Linked DNA regions of Cricetulus griseus. The protein of the gene in region 3 interacts with the protein of the main gene of each other region in a pairwise test. Links are inferred from orthologs where the notes say so. Each region holds a gene or a part of one and is shown on either strand. Other genes may lie near its edges.

The links.
Region 1: the proteins of Pdlim7 (region 3) and Wwp2 interact in binary tests that used the Homo sapiens proteins (3 or more experiments, as listed by UniProt). The link is inferred for Cricetulus griseus from reciprocal best matches to the Homo sapiens genes PDLIM7 and WWP2.
Region 2: the proteins of Pdlim7 (region 3) and Pak5 interact in a two-hybrid assay, tested with the Homo sapiens proteins (2 studies listed by BioGRID and IntAct). The two-hybrid records come from large-scale screens. The link is inferred for Cricetulus griseus from reciprocal best matches to the Homo sapiens genes PDLIM7 and PAK5.
Region 4: the proteins of Pdlim7 (region 3) and Zmynd11 interact in a two-hybrid assay, tested with the Homo sapiens proteins (2 studies listed by BioGRID). The link is inferred for Cricetulus griseus from reciprocal best matches to the Homo sapiens genes PDLIM7 and ZMYND11.

What each region holds. Positions count from the first base shown.
Region 1 is NC_048596.1:183,768,590-183,772,822, forward strand, and holds the start of Wwp2 (NEDD4-like E3 ubiquitin-protein ligase WWP2), read left to right. Parts: upstream 1-1,429; 5' UTR 1,430-1,525; intron 1,526-4,233. UniProt on the Homo sapiens protein: E3 ubiquitin-protein ligase which accepts ubiquitin from an E2 ubiquitin-conjugating enzyme in the form of a thioester and then directly transfers the ubiquitin to targeted substrates.
Region 2 is NC_048599.1:42,473,466-42,477,727, forward strand, and holds the start of Pak5 (serine/threonine-protein kinase PAK 5), read left to right. Parts: upstream 1-1,458; coding exon 1,459-1,662; intron 1,663-4,262.
Region 3 is NC_048596.1:274,494,256-274,497,766, reverse strand, and holds part of Pdlim7 (PDZ and LIM domain protein 7), read left to right. Parts: intron 1-1,891; coding exon 1,892-2,043; intron 2,044-2,123; coding exon 2,124-2,154; intron 2,155-2,595; coding exon 2,596-2,714; intron 2,715-3,055; coding exon of another isoform or gene 3,056-3,072; intron 3,073-3,315; coding exon 3,316-3,452; intron 3,453-3,511. UniProt on the Homo sapiens protein: May function as a scaffold on which the coordinated assembly of proteins can occur. May play a role as an adapter that, via its PDZ domain, localizes LIM-binding proteins to actin filaments of both skeletal muscle and nonmuscle tissues.
Region 4 is NC_048596.1:234,026,361-234,030,440, reverse strand, and holds the start of Zmynd11 (zinc finger MYND domain-containing protein 11), read left to right. Parts: upstream 1-1,276; 5' UTR 1,277-1,474; intron 1,475-1,782; exon of another isoform or gene 1,783-1,858; intron 1,859-2,290; exon of another isoform or gene 2,291-2,461; intron 2,462-4,080. UniProt on the Homo sapiens protein: Chromatin reader that specifically recognizes and binds histone H3.3 trimethylated at 'Lys-36' (H3.3K36me3) and regulates RNA polymerase II elongation. Does not bind other histone H3 subtypes (H3.1 or H3.2).

The DNA of each region.
Region 1 (4,233 bases), about 91 Mb from region 3:
ATCCATAGTTCTGGGAAAGTCTTTAAATTTACTAACCTTGCTTGATCCTTAACACCCAGTGTAGTTGCCGGCTGGCTAATAAAGACTTTCTATTGGCTTAGATGAATGTCTGAGCAGTTTTCTCTGGTAGATAACCCACAACAAAGGCACCAAACATCCAGGTGGTACACAGATGTGTATGCACAGGAAAAAGATCCATATAATAAAATACTAATGAAAAATTAAAAATTTCAGTTAACCAAAACCAAACCCAACAGAAAGCCAGATGGTGTGGCACATATCTGTTATCTGATCAACTGGGAGGTGGGTCCCAGCCTAGGGTGCATGAAACCCTGACTCCACCTGTCTCCTGACCCCCCCCCCCCCATGGCACAAAAAGGTAATCCTAACTACTCAGAGAATCAAAAGTTCAAGGCCAATTAGAACTCTTTAAGCAAGACCCTGCTCCAAATAAAAACTAGAAAGGTAACAACAGGACTGGCAACATAGGTCAGTAGGAGTGATCCCTGACTAGTATGAGCAGGGCTCTGGGTCCAACCCTCAGTGCCCCCAATGCCAGGAATTAAGAAGGCTGAGGATAGGGTTGAGTTCCAGGTCAGTCAGGGTTACATAGAGGCCGTTTGCTAATTCAAAACTTTCAGTTTACTCCATACAGGGAGGAAATGGGAGTTGGTTCCCCATGGGACACTTACGGACTTGGGTGAAGTTCTGAAGTGTGACCTCACCCCCACCCCCTTCTACTTTTGCTTCTTGGAACAAGAACAGATGTTCTATAAAGGCCAGGGCATTTATACTTCTAGAACTGAAAACAAGGCCTAGCATATAGTTGGCACAAGCTGCCAATATTAGCAATACATAAGATGCTTAAGTTTGACCAGTATACCTTTGTGGTGTCAATACATCCCTTTCCAAATTTGCGGACGTGGTTATAGTTACAAGGTTTATCCGATATTCAAATTTAAGGGGGGAACATACTGTTTTTTTGTTAGCAAGTTTTTGTTTGTTTGTTTTTTGAGACAGAGTTTCTCTGTGTAGTAGTCATGGCTGTTTTAGAATTCACCCTGTAGACAAGGCTAGCCTTGAATTTACGAAGAACCGCCTGCCTCTGCCTCCCAAATGCTGGTATTAAAGGGGAGCGCCACTATCACTCGGCTAGCATACTGTTTTTTTCTCCAGTAATCCCCGAAAGACTCGCTGAATTAACTGACCGGATGGTCTTCTCCCACCTGTTTCATGGAGGGAAACTCTACCTACTTCCAAAGGAATAAAATAAAGCCCCTGGTGCCCGGCGAGTCCCTATTTTGTATGTCTGCCCGAACACAACTCAGGAGCAAGAGGTCCTCGCCACTCGGGACCTCAGTAAATCAAAAGCTCGCATGCTGGGTCTAGGTGGTCCGCACCTGCGCGCCCAGGCCAGCCTCTTCCGGGTCAGGTGACCGCGCGCACTCACGTGACCCGGCCCGAGTGCGGGCGCTGGAAGGCGGAAGTGGAGCGGAGTTAGGCGCCGCTGGTGTGGCCGCTGCAGGTAGGTGGCGCGGGCGCTGGGGGCTCGGTGGCGAGCGGGCGGCGCGGGGTGGCCGGGGGCGGCGGGGGCGTGAGGGCTGGGGGCGGCGCGGGGCGGGCGCGGGGGCGGCGGCTTCCTGTGGGAGGGGCCTGGCGCGCGGTTCCGGCCTCCGAGGAGGGGTGTCCCGGCTTGCGCCCGAGCGGGGTGGGCGCGGGGCCCGGTGGGAGTCGCCAGCTGCTGGCGCTTCCGGCAGGGGACCCCTGCCTGGGCGCCTGCGGTGCGCAGGAGCCGCGTCTGTGGAGGGGACGGGACCTCGGCCCGGGAGACTAGCAAGCTCCCCAGAAGGGGCTGCCTGGGAGTGGGCGTCTGGTTTGTAGGGACGTGGAGAAAAAATCTGGACGATGCGGCCTGGACCCCATTCCGAGAGTCTCTTCCTTCCATCCTCTTTGAAGATGATGGCGACCTGAGACTTTAATTTCGGTCCGGTTCAGTTTTTAAACTTCAGGAGGGATCCCTCAGTCTTGATCGGCTGACTGTGGTCACACCCACTTTGCCCTGTTTGCTTAGGGTTCCCTCTTGTTAGGAGCCTAGCCCTTCAGATCATCTTTCTTTGAGATGCTCCCGGATCGGCTGATCTTCGAAAAAAAAAATAAAATAAAGACGGTGTGGGTGCTTTACTGGGATCATAACATGACTTTCAACCTACACAGTTGTCAGCGGCTTGGGCCAGCGTTACCTCAGCAACGCATTGACTGCTTAACTCTTGGACAGTAGAAAGTCTACCGATACTGCTTTAGACGATGCATCTTAGGCTTAAATTACACAGTTTCCTTTTCCATGAGACTTCTTATCTTGACCAGCTGTGACTAGGTGGGGTGACAGAGAAGTTTCTGTGGTATTCCTTAGAACTGTGACCTAGATCACATTTTTTTTTTTTTTTTTTTGAGGTTAAGATACCCATCTTAAGATTGTTCATCTTCCAGGCCGAGGCGTGAAGATGGCTGCAAGTTCCAGGCCAAGCCGGCCTGGGCTACACTGTTAAGACCTAAACAAACAACCAAGCCCTCCTCTTTTCCTTCACATTTACTAAACTTTGCAGAAGTGAAATGGGTTTTGTGAATGCAGTGAAGGAGTTAGAGTTCAAATGGGACGTTGACAGGAGCCAGGATCACAGGTCACTAGGGCAAAAAAAAAAACCAAAAACTTTGCATTAATACATTAGGAGTGGAAGACTTTGGGGTATATGACAAACATTCAAAAGTTAATTTTTGTAGCTGTCATGAGAAATCAATCCCCACTTCACAGAGAACAAACAGCTAAGAGGGTTGACTTTAAAAATATTTATTTTTATTTATTATGTGTGTGTGTGTTCGTGTCTGTGTATGTATGTCATATGTAGGGTGTGGGTGTCCACAGAGGCCAGAAGAAAGCATTGGGTCCCTTGAAGCCAGAGATACAGGTGGTTGTGAGCCTCTGCGCTTTCTTTCTTTTTAAAAAGATTTTATTTTGTCTGCATTCATGTCTATGTGAGGCTGTTGGATCCTCTGGAGCTGAAGTTACAGACAGTTGTGAGTTGCCATGTGGGTGCTGGGAATTGAATTTGGGCCCTCTGGAAGAGCAGCCAGTGCTCTTAATCACTGAGCTGTCTCTCCAGCCCCAAGCCTCTGGCCTGTCATTCTGGGAACTAAACTTTGGTCCTGTGGAAGAGCACTAAATACTCTTTAACTGTTGATCTATCTCTCTAGCCCCAACTTGACTTGTTTACTCATCTTCCTGCTAGACTGTAAATCATTCAAGGGCAGTGATCCTATTTTATGTGGCTTCCTTGGCTACTAGCCTCATGCCTGGTATGTTGTGAGTACTTGGTCAGTGTTTGAGAAATAAGGGAGTTTTTAAAGGTCACACTGCTGTATGTGGTGAAGAAGGGGTTTGAACTTAAGTTTCCTGTCCTTTTTCTGGTCAGTGAAGCTAGTTTTGTTCTGTGTTATTGGTCCCTAGGAAACCAAGGAGCCTGAGGCCAAAGGCTTGGATTGGCTTGTCGTTCTCTTTCACTGTTTTTTTTTTTTTTTTTTTTTTTTTTTTTTTTTTTTTTTTTTTTTGTCATTGAACTTTACACCTTACCACTGAGTTGGAGCTGTAGCCCTTCCCCTCTCCCCCACTCCTGTGTAGCTTTGGAGCCCATCCTAGCACTTGCTCCGGAGACCAGGCTGGCCTCAAACTCACAGAGATCCGCCTGCCTCTGCCTCCCGAGTGCTGGGATTAAAGACGTGCACCACCAATGCCTGGCTGTAGCCCTTCTTTTTGTAAGTTTTTTTCTTTTTCTTTTGAGACAGACTCTCAGTAAGTTTCCCTGGGTGGCCTCAAACTCCTGTAGCTCAGGAAAGCCTTGAACTTGTGCTCCTCCTGCCTCTGTCTCTTGAGTTAGCTGGAATTACAGGACTGCACTACCAGGTCTGTCTTTCATTTAATGACTACTTTCCCACTTGCAAAAAACTTACACCAGGTTCTCATTTATTCTTATATTTGGTTATTTCTTTCCTTATTTAAGACAAATTTTTATTATGTAGTCCTGACTGGTCTAGAGCTCACAAAGATCCACCTGCCTCTGCCTCCCAAGTGCTGGAATTAAAGTTGTGTTAAATTAAAATAAATTTAAATCAAAACTATGCTCAGCCTTTCCTTTTTTGAGACAGGGTCTCACTGTGGCTTTTGGCTTTTTGATACAAGGT
Region 2 (4,262 bases), on a different chromosome or scaffold from region 3:
CAAGAAATGGTGAAAAATCAGGAAAAGAAAATTAGTCTATGTGGCCACATTAGGATGAAGAACTAAGAGTCCCTTGACCCCCTGGTCTGTCTTCCAGGGTTAGTATACGGCTCAGATTTAAATAGAGGACAAGAGATGTGCAGAGCTCACAGTTCCAGGCTAAGGTGTGGTCCAGTTTATCACTACTGTCTGCACCACTATCCATTCTCTCCAGAAATGTGCTCTAACACATTCTTAACACTGTGTGAAATGTCAGCACTGTGACAAAGTCATCACTGGTCAGCACCAGGCTTCAGCCTTTTCATTCTCCCAGTAGGGAGTTTCTGGGGCACAAATGTCTCTCTTTAGAATATCTTCAATCCTACCAGAATGGTTATACACTGAAGTAAGCTTCCCTAAGAAAGAAAAATAAGTGTTTAAGCCAAATATATATGTATGCATATACACATATGTACATATGTACACACACTGATATATATATATATATATATATATATATATATATATATCTTTTTATAAACCCCATGGCAATATGTGGAAGGATTCTCAAGGTGACACCTTGTTTAACCTACTCACAGGTGAGTAACCCCTGGTCAAAAGCACACACACCTAAAGTATGGCAATCACATGTAATTCATGATGACACAGTGTTCAAAGCTAGGTTACATCACAGGCTACCAGATCATGAAGTACAGAATCACCATTTAATACAGTTAACACTTACAGGACCTACTTGAGCAGGTGATATTCTATCTGTTTGATAAATATTTATTTTCTATCTATAATAATTGGTTTTTATGCAGAATAATTATTAGCTCATTTTTCTTGTTGATATATATGCTATTTTGTCACATATGTGTTCTGGATTTTGACTTCATACCAAACTTTGAGGTGCTTCTCCTTGAGAATTGTTCAGCTTTTGCTTCAGTAATGTTGATATGATACACAAGTTGGAAACATAGCTCTTCACGTGTTACATCAGTGTAACTGTCAGCTGTGGCTCAACAATGGCTCCACAGAGTTGCCTGGTCTTGACTCCAGGTTGCACTATGTCTTCTTCAAATCTCTCTTCTAAAACTGAGGATTGGCAAGTATAATCTACCTGAGGATTCTTAATGACAAGTTTATTGGGGTGGAGTACTAAGAGCATCCAAACACCCCCACCCTAGACTGGCTTATTTTCCAGACCATTGATCCATGCAGTTCACATGGGCCAAATTCAGCACCAATGGGACAAGCAACTGTAATCCACAGTGATCATTCAAGATAAGAACAAAGATTCAGAATGAAATTATCTCATATATACAGCCTGAAAATATAACTTTTATCTTTTGAAATTAGTATTGTGAGAGATAACTGAAATGATGTAGATAAATTATCTAAAATAAATTTATCTCCTGGTGGTGAGATATAATAAGCTGCCTGTTTTCTCTTTGTATTTCATAGGTTTTTTACATCATGTTTGGGAAGAAAAAGAAAAAGATTGAAATTTCTGGCCCATCCAACTTTGAGCACAGGGTTCATACTGGGTTTGATCCACAGGAGCAGAAATTTACTGGCCTTCCCCAGCAATGGCACAGCCTGTTAGCAGACACAGCCAACAGGCCCAAGCCCATGGTGGATCCGTCATGCATCACACCGATACAACTGGCTCCCATGAAGGTATGCAAGGATTCTGTCTTCAGGTTGACTTCAGCACCAGGCTCTGACTTGATTTAGTGTACTATCTTTATAAACTGGGTAACTTTAGCCACAGTTAGCCTTCATTTTGCAGCACATGAAAGGGAAATGTTGTCTTTGAATACTGATTATTGTAAAATTTAGATGTAAAATTAAGCTACAAAATGAATTTTTATTTCTGTCAATAATACCCAGCTCCTCTGATAATATCAGCAATAGATCTAATCAAATATTTTACTGGACATATTTCATTGTCTTCTATTTGCTCTCAAAATATTTATACTTACTATTATAAAATACAACGATAACAGATTTCAGTAGCAATAAATCATATTTATAAGCATACACTCAAATGTATGTGTCTATATGTATGATTTATACAGTAAATGTGTGTATCTTCACATTTATCTCCATAGTCTAAGAAAGAGATATTTCATATTAGCAAATAATTTCAGTCATTGAATAATTAACCTGAACAAACAGCTGGTAGATTTTTGATAAGGAATGTTCATGACTCATTAAGTTTCAGCTATGTTCAGTTACCAAAAAGACAATTCAGAGGTTGCAGCTTCTTCTTTACTGGAGGGTAAGAATTCTGTAGTCTATCAGGCAGTTGCCCACAAGCTCTCCATGGGAGTAAAACAGTATAGATATTTAGCAGAATAATATACATCAGATCACTCCAGAGTCTTCCAATCTCAACAAAGTATGAAACTCATGTTCCTCTGTCATTCATTATACTAGAACGTATCTTTGCTATGAGGATACTTACTCTGTGTGAACATTAATAGTGCCTAAATTGTGCTAAATTATATATAAAGTGATTCTACAGGATGTGAACAAAAGATATAGTTGATAAATGATAAAGGAGTCTGTTATCTCTTCAACTGGTTGAATTCGAATAGTGATCCAATGAAAGAAGTGTGTCGTCCCTTATTTTTGGACAGCAGGCTTCAGGAGGATTTACCTGAGTAGAAATCTACCACATGAGCCAGTATTCCTTGATGGGTCATGACTCCCATTGCCCCTGTTCAGAAACTCTAGCTTATCTATTTTGCCTACAACTTGTAAGAGTACATCTGTCCTTTGCAGACTCATTTATGCCAGGGCTTCTCAAGGTATATTGAGAATCACCTGAAGTGTCTTGCTAAAACAAATGTTCTAGTTGGGATTTCTATTGCAGTGAAGAGACACCAGAGCCACACAAATTCTTATAAAGGAAAACATTTAGTTGGGGCTGGCTTACACTTGAGAGATTTAGTCCATTGTCATTGGACTAAATTGGCTGTAATGGTACTGGAGAGGTAGCTGAGAGTTCTACATCTGGATCCAGGGGCAGTAGGAAGACAGGGAGCCCTTAGACCTGGCTTGAGATTCTGATACCTCAAAGCCTGCCCCCAATGACACACATCCTCCAACAAGACTGCACCTACTCCAGTAAGGCTGTACCTCCTAATAGTACTGCTCTCTATGGGCTTATGGGAGCCATTTTTATTCAAACCACCATAACACAGATATGGAGCTCTACCCCTGTATCTGATTCAGTAAAACTGGGTTAGAGCTTCTTGGTGTTCATTTCTAAATAATATCCTGCTGGTGCAAAGGCGGCTGGCCTAAAGAGATTTTGAAAATCTTTATAAAAGTAGTTATAAAAACTTATTTACATAGATGATATAATCAGAATGACTTTACACTGGTTAAAAAAAAAGTTCAAGATATCAGAATCTTAGATTTATGTTGAGTTGACTTTCTTGACCCCAAACCCCAAGCACATAAACTGACTGAAATCATCTGAATAGTCAAAGGGGAGTATACCTTTCAAACATTTGGCAAGGTCAGGAAATGAAGGTCAGTGATATGACCTGCACTTAGCATAAATTCAATGGGTTCAATTTCTAACAGCTCCTCTTCTTCCCCCACCAAGAATGTTTTTCATACTTAACTGTTTTGTCCATAAGAGCATCATAAGCAACATTACCCAAGTTGTTTCAAAATTAGCTGTGTTATATGCACATCTTAACGTTTTCTTCCTGTTTCTTTTTAATGTTAATTATTATTATAGCAATAATTCTAAATATTTTGATATATTTAAATTTTATTGTGATGTCATACTATATAACTATCTTCGAACTTCCTATTTATTTAAGATTGAGAAAAATTCTCATTCATACAGAAGACTTGAGTTTCGTTTAAATTGTAACTTTCTATAACTTGCTCATTTTTCTATAGAAGAATTCTACAAAGTATGTGCTATAACAGATAAAATTATCATGAAGATATGAGTGCTTGGTTTTCATAGTACAGTCTGGAACTCTTGGGAAACTTAGGTTCTTTGAGAAGTCTACCTGAGGTTACAGTAGGATTTTTCAGAAAGTAACATATATTGTAGTGTCATAGTTGATGCCTAAAATATCATGAACTCTCTACTCTTTTGCTTTATAAGCTTCTTATTTGTGTGGTGGTGGCCCATGCCTTTAATTCCAGCACTCAGGGGACAGAAGCAGGCAAATCTCTAAGTCTGGGGCCAACCTGGCCTACAAAATGAGTTCCAGGACAACCAGGGCTACACAGAGAAACCCTGC
Region 3 (3,511 bases):
CACACACACCCCTGGGTCTCACCCCACACCTCTCAGGAAGCAGGCTGCCTGTAGAGGAAGGAGTGGCTAAACCAGGTTTCCATCTCCTGACTGACTCACCATGACCATGAGTTAAGTCACTTCCCCTCTAGGGTGTCACTTCCCTGTCCCCCTTGTAAGGGACAGATTGGAGTGGGATGAAGGTGAAAGGAGCATGAAGACCCCAGACTTAGTCAAGGCATGAAGGGGTCTTTTTCAGACAGGGTCTGCATTGAACGGTCAGTCCCCCTGCTCAGCGTGCCTGAGTGTTGGCGTTGCAGGTGTACAGTACCAGGCCTGGCACCCAGAGTCTTTTTGTTTTTAATTTCATAAAATTTTAATTAGTTGGTGGTGGCGCATGCCTTTAATCCCAGTGCTCAGGAGGCAGAGGCAGGTGGATCTCTGTGAGTTTGAGGCCAGCCTGATCTAGAGAGTGAGTTCCAGGACAGCCAGGACTGGTTCACGGGGAACCCTGTCTCAAAAAACCAGAAGACAAAAAAAATTATTTTGAGACAGGATCTCTCTGTGTAGTCTTTTTTTATTTTAGAGACAGGGTTTCTCTGTGGCTTTGGAGCCTATCCTGGCACTCGTTCTGTAGACAAGGCTGGCCTCGAACTCACTGAGATCCGCCTGCCTCTGCCTCCCAAGTGCTGGGACTAAAGGTGTATGCCACCAGCGCCCGGCCTTTCTCTGTGTAGTCCTGGCTGTTCTGGAATTCACTATGTAGACCAGGCTGGCCTCGGCTTCCAGAGTGCTGGGATTAAAGTTGCCGTGTGCCGCCACCACCCAGCTCCCCAGAGTCTTTATGGGGAGTTCCTGCTTGTGTGTGAGAGTATTTATCGACCCCTCACTTGTGCCTGTGTAGCATAGGTGCGCTGCTGTGGAGGGCCACATCCTGGCTGCACCTAGTGCAGACTGGATGACTTGAGTTCACATGTTGGCAATACTGTTTTTTCTGAGTATGAGCAGGGTGGATCCCCAGACTCTCTGCAAGCACATTGGGAGATGCGGTGTCAATACTAGGTGTTCTCTGAGTTGCTATTCTTAGCATCTGTTAGCAGGTAAAGAAAGGGCTCTGACTTAGGTGCTCTCTTCTCTGCTAACCTCCCCTTCAGGCACAAAATAGAGCTGTCAAGTCCAGCTCCATTCTGTCCTAGTGTTTGCAGTCTCTGCATCAGGACTGTCCCTAACATTCTCAGAACCTCCTGGCCTTCCCACTGCACCGCTCACCTGAGGATCCTGCTGCCACCTTTGGCAGCCTGTACCCCACTTTTCCTGCTACCCGTGAAGTGTAAATTAAGCCTGCTCTGTGGTGCCAGGCCCTTTGCCAGATGGTTGAGTGGACCTGTGATTTCAGAGCTGTGGGTGACCGATGTGTCTCCAATCCTTTTGGCTTTGAATTGGGAATTTCTGGTCTGTGTGGCAAATGAGGGTATGTAGTAGGCCTAGTGGGGTAGTGCTCACCAACACTGGCTGATTTCTGGTAAGTGGTGAGCTTTGGTCACCCCCCACCCAAAAAAAAAGTATGTGGCCATGGGAGCAAGAGTACATTTATGAAGGCATTCAGTGAATGGGGAAGGGGGCAGGGCAGTCGCTCAGTTGCTCAGATAGATGGGACACTTGTCAGGACCCTGACAGAAGTAACGCTGATCGACCCTATTAGGCCTTTGTAGCCCAGTCTTAACACAGGAGGGCAATCTGGTGGTGAAGTAGCCTCCAGAGCAGACTGGCAGAGCCCTCAAAGGCTGTGGACGCTAGCCTGAGGTGCACTGTGAGGGAGGGTCATAGAGAAGAATAGACAACCAAGCAGTGGAAAGGTAGATGACACAGCTTGGGTGTGGGCCCATGGGCTTCTGACCACTCCTCTCCACAGCTCACCCCTGGAGGCAAAGCTGCACAGGCTGGCGTGGCTGTAGGAGACTGGGTGCTGAGCATCGATGGTGAGAACGCAGGGAGCCTCACACACATTGAGGCCCAGAACAAGATCCGCGCCTGTGGGGAGCGCCTCAGCCTGGGGCTTAGCAGGTATGGGGCCAACAGGATGAAGGGGTGAAGGCAGTCTCTGGTCTGGCCCACTGCCATCACTGCTTTCTCTTCTTCTCCAGAGCCCAGCCTGTTCAGAGCAAACCACAGAAGGTAGGTTGTACAGGAGATAACTAGGCTGAGAAAGGGAGGGGGCTTAGACTTCAGGGTTGACCTGCCCTCCCCAGGCCCAGCCTTGTTACCCCTAAGAGCAGAGGGCAGATGCCAGAAGGGGCAGTGTCTGAGGAACTGAGAGGGGCTGGGAGCTGCCGCACGGTCTGGGCGCCACACGTGCCTGCCTGTCTGTCTGCCCGCCCGCTTCCTCCCACGAGCCTGTGCTGTGTGTGCCTGCCCATCCTTGGTCTCCCTTGGCCCAGAGTGGGTTGAGTTCACTACTTCCAAATGGGCCCCTTGAAATCATAGTTTCCCCTCACCCTTAGCCTCTGCCCAGATGTGTACGTGGAGCTGGACCTGTCACTGTCCTTGGTGGTGGTGACTCCGCTCCCACCTCAGCCCCCACTCCCACCCACCCTGCCTGGCTCTGTCTCTGCCCAGGCCCTGACCCCTCCCGCCGATCCCCCGAGGTATACTTTTGCACCAAGCGCCTCCCTCAACAAGACGGCCCGGCCCTTTGGGGCACCCCCACCTACTGACAGCACCCCGCAACAGAATGGGTATGTCAGCCCTCGCCCACTCACTCCTGTCTATTGTCCACACCGTCCAGTCCTTCCACAAGCACACACAAGCTGCCCGCTACTGCTCAGTCTGTGCTGTACCCCAGCCCCTTAACCGTGTGGCAGCAATCCCTGGCGGCCGGGTAGGCCTGAGGGTGTAGAGCCCCACCTAAGGCTGTCGCTCTTGCACAGGCTCTGCCACTCTGGGCAGCCTGGGGTTGGGGTGTGACTGGGCCAGCTGAGTTACTGCCACCTTGCCTCCCTCTGCACTTCTCTAATTCCCCATCTTTCTCTCCCGCGTCTGTCACTTTATTTGTCTATCTGTCTTATTTCCTTCACAGGTGCAGACCCCTGACAAGTCAGTGAGCCCCCTCTTCCTGTCACTTTTTCCCTTCCTTTGGGCACTTTGGGTGGTAGCCCCTCCCTACCCTGGCTACTCTCCTCCCGTCTCTCATTTACCTACCTACCCTCCTGCCCAGCAGGGCCCTTTGCCTCACCCCCCACCCTTCCCCTCTCTCGCCTGTCACATCAGATCCTGGTGGGGGGGGCTGCCCCTGGTGTTCACCAGAACCAGGGGTTCTGAGCCACACCCTTCCCACAGACAGTTGTTCAGACAGCTGGTCCCCGATGCCAGCAAGCAGCGGCTGATGGAGGATACCGAAGACTGGCGGCCACGGCCAGGGACAGGCCAGTCCCGCTCCTTCCGCATCCTTGCCCACCTCACGGGCACAGAGTTCAGTAAGTGCTGGCCCAGGTCAGGGCGGACTCTCTTGGCCTTAGCCTAGGCCTGACTTTGC
Region 4 (4,080 bases), about 40 Mb from region 3:
TGAATGGCCTCTGTAGAATACATAGAAATATAGAAGTAGCCATTCCTCTACAGCGGAAATAAGACCTTTTTAAAAAGGTGATTCACTTAAACAGGTGGTTCCCAGTGCAGCATTGCAATCAGATATGGCATGATTTCCTTCTATCTAGTTGTAATGGTATTTAATCTCATCCCCCCTATGGATGGGTCCTGGGATTGAATGCTGATTCTCTGATTGTTGGGTGGTGAGTGCATTTACCTGCTGCCTACTCATGCCTTATTTTATTATTCGAATGGACTGAAAATATCTCATGATCTTTGAAGTGGAAAAAAAAAAGCTTGAAACAAAAACAAACAACAAAACACCCAAACACTACTCAGAGATGCGGCTATCAGTTCCAGGGCTGTTAATGTTTTGAAAGACCATGTTTGACTGGTGTACTTCAAAGGCCAACTCACTGCTGTTCATTTCTAAGTTCCTAGAGATCAGCTCTGTAAACAGATGGGTAATTTAAGAATCCAGGTTTCTAGGGGAGTTTCCAGTGATTTTCAGGCACATATATCCGATGAGAATAGGGGCAAGCAATTTTGGCCAGTAGTTTCCTTTCCAAACTCCTAGCAGGCAAAGGTTATTAGGACAATGTACGACATCTGTATGTCCTTTTATCTCTGCGACTTTTCCCCCAAAGGTTTTTTAAAAGCCATATAGCTTAAGGGATCTCCTCTGATTAGATCTAGAATTACTCACTAAAAAGGATAACCTAGTTCTTCCAGCAATTTGTAATGTTCTAACCAGATTGATAATGGGAGGTCCATTCTTTGTAAACGTTCCATTTGTGCATCTACAGGACGCGGGAACTTGAGTGTCTTGCAACTGGTTTTTTGAGCACAGGGTTGGAAATAGAGGGAGACTATCTTACCCATTCGGGTCAGTACACGGGCGAGTGCTTGTCCAACACGGAGCCATTAGGAACCAAGCAAAGCGTGGAGTGGGTCCACCCCGCGAGCCGCGTCGCAGCCCACCGGGCCTGGCAGGACCCTAACAATGCTACCCTCGTGTCACGGTGCCCGGCTCCAGCGTGCCAGCACGTACGTAGCTTGCACGTGTGTGTTGATATGGAGTTGGTGTGTGGACCCCTTAGAATATGCTGAAACCGATTTCGCAGAGAGGCGCCGGAGACAGGTCGAGGGAAGGTAGGAGCGGGTGCGGCGGGCTCCCCCGGTCTCGGGGCGGGGAGGCAGCGCAGGCCGCGCAAGTCCCGCGCCCGCCGCTAGAGCCCCCCGTGCGCGGCTCGGCCCAGGCCGCGCTTGCCCGGCCCGGCCCCGCGCGGGGAAACACTCGAGCGCACACAATGAACTCCGAGGAGGCTGCGAGCTCGGCCGGCCGCCGCGCCCGCACCATGTGAACCACCGCTTAGTGGGGAGCGTCAGCTTTCCCCCAGGGCGTCCTCGGCAGCCCCGAAGGCCCTGCGCCGCCGTCGGGCTGAGGAGACGCGGTGAGTGAGCGAGCGAGCGAGCGAGCGAACGAGCGAGCGAGCGAACTGTGCGCGCGGCGGTCCGGGCCTCCAGCCGGCGCGCGACGCCCCGGCCGCCTCACCAGGCTTCGCCCCGGCGCGCGCCGAGGCATTTTCTGTGGTGAAAGCCGCCGCCAACATGGCGCCCCTCGAGCCCCGAGCCCTCTGCGCCGAGCCAGCGGGGGGAGCCGGGGAGGAGGGAGGAGATGGCGGGGAGGAGGAGGAGACGGCGGCCTGCGTCCCCCCCGCCCCCCGCGCCCGTCGCCGGCTGAGGCCCGAGAGGCGCCGGGCGGCGGGAAGGAGGCGGCTCCGGAGGGAGGGCCGGGCGCGGCGGCGACGGCGGCGGCGGCGGAGCGGAGCATAATGGTGGGGAAAGCTCGGCGGGGCGCTGGGCGGCGGGGCGGGCGGAGGCGTCCGTGGCGGTGACGCGGCCTGCACCGTGACGGCTGCAGGGGCTGCGGCCTCTGTGGCGGGCGGCGGCTGATGGTGGCCTCGGGACTGCCCCAGGCCGGCGAGGCCTGCGGACTGGGCGCTTTCCCTCGGTCCGGCGCCTCTTGCCTCCGGCAGCCGTGAGGAACAGGCCCGGGGGAAGGCCGCGGAGAACCGCGCGCGGCCTGCTGGCGCCCCGAAGCCGCGGAGTCTTGTGAGCTCCTCCCGCCGGGTCCCAGCGCCTCCCGCCTGGCCAGGCCCGAGGGCCCTTTGCGTGGAACGTGTGGCGGGCGGAGGGGAGCAGTGGAAGCGGCGGTGCCCGAGAACCGAGACCAGTGTCCGTCGGTCCCTCGGGACTGCAGGCGAGCGGGTTGCGAGGCTTCAGCTGCCTCAACAGGTCCTCCCGGCCGTGCTGCGGGATTAGCCGCGCTGTGCCCGTGTAGAACTGGGGAGAGACGCTGATGGGGACGCTGCCTGTGGGGCTGTGGCCCGAACTTTCACTCACGCCTTTTTCCTGGGCCGAGCCGAGCGTGCTTTGCGGTGTGTCCGTGGGACTTTGTCTTTGGTGTCTGTGGTACTTATACTTAGTGTTTGCCGTGTGTCCGTGGTACTGACTGTCGTGTGTGACTTGTTAGTAGTACTCGGTGTCACAGGCAGTATGCACGCAGCACCCAGTGTCCTCTAATTTGTCTAAACTCCGACCTGTGCCACTGCACAGCTGAACTGTGCCCTGTATCCCAGGAGGGATAAGATGTGTAGATAGTATCTAGCATTGTGTGCGGCTGTGTTTGCAGTTTCTTTGTATATGGTTACAAAGTGTCAATGTGTGTTACAGAGTATCTGGTGTTAATTTCCTTTGCATGACCAGTGTCTTATACTGTGTATACACACAGTACCTGGTTTCCTGTAAAGTTGTGTGCACAGTAACTAGTGTCATATGTAGTATTTATACAGTTCCTATGTTAGTGTAGGAGTTATACACTGTACCCAGTATCTTCTGTGGTGTGTATTCAATCGCTGGTTTCATTTGGTGTGTACAAAATAACTGGCATCGCAGTATGTTTTTGAGCCTGAAAGAAGTGGCCAAGTGGTCCAGTCAGGGAGAAGTCACCCCCAAAGTGGTAGGCAGTTTAAGGGGTTTTTGTGAGCCTTTCTCACTCAGGTCCTCTCTCTGATTCACCTGGGAGTTAAGTTTCCTACAGTCAATTGTGTTGTATGCCGGCAAAAACATTAAAAATAATCACTTCGAGCCACAGAAAGTAAATGCTTTTAAAAAATAAGACAAGAAATGTAACGGTCTTTAGCTTGATTGTTATGGGATACAAACCTTAAATGATGGGGGCGGGTGTCATTGATTCCAACTGATGGCTAAAAATTATTAGTGTCTGGTTGTACTCTAAAAGTTTTGAGTGGTTTTGGTAGGCACGGTGGTCTTTGTACTTTTAAAAATCTCTAATGTGTTCAACTAAAACAGTGGTTCTCAACCTTCCTAATGCTGCCAACATTTAATACAATGCCTCCTGTTGTGACCCCCAACCATAAAATTGTTTCATTGTTATTTCATAACTGTAATTTTGCTACTGTTATGAACCATAATGTAAATATCTGATATGCAGGATATCTGATGTGCAACCCTTGTGAAAGGGTCTTCTGGCTCCCAAACTGGTGGGGTTCCACAGGTAGAGAACTGCTAGACTAGAAGCAATGAGAATTTATGTACAGGCCTATTAGTTTCCTGGCCTTTGTTTACATTGTAGCAAGTACATTGGTTACATTGTTGTCAGAATTTTGGCTAACCCTGTAAGATGAAAAGGACAATCAAAGATCAGAAGACATGAAATGCGACTGATCAAATCAGAATGCTTCTTGCTGAATTCTGATTGAGAAAATTGCTATACTGTATACACTATCTTTTTCTGTAGAGACTGTTTTCATGTGAAAACTGTAGCTCTTATATTCTTTAAGATGGACAGTTTGGTTTTTGCAGTTACCAATTGCTAGGTGTTTAAACAAATGTACATGTGAGTGCTTTCTTTATAAAGAAAATTTGATTTTAAATGTTAGAACTGTGCTCTAGTTCTCCTTAAATTTTCTTCAGCTATCCTAAAGTTGGTGCTTGGGTGGATGCCTATTTGCATTTTCTGTGAATGACATAGATT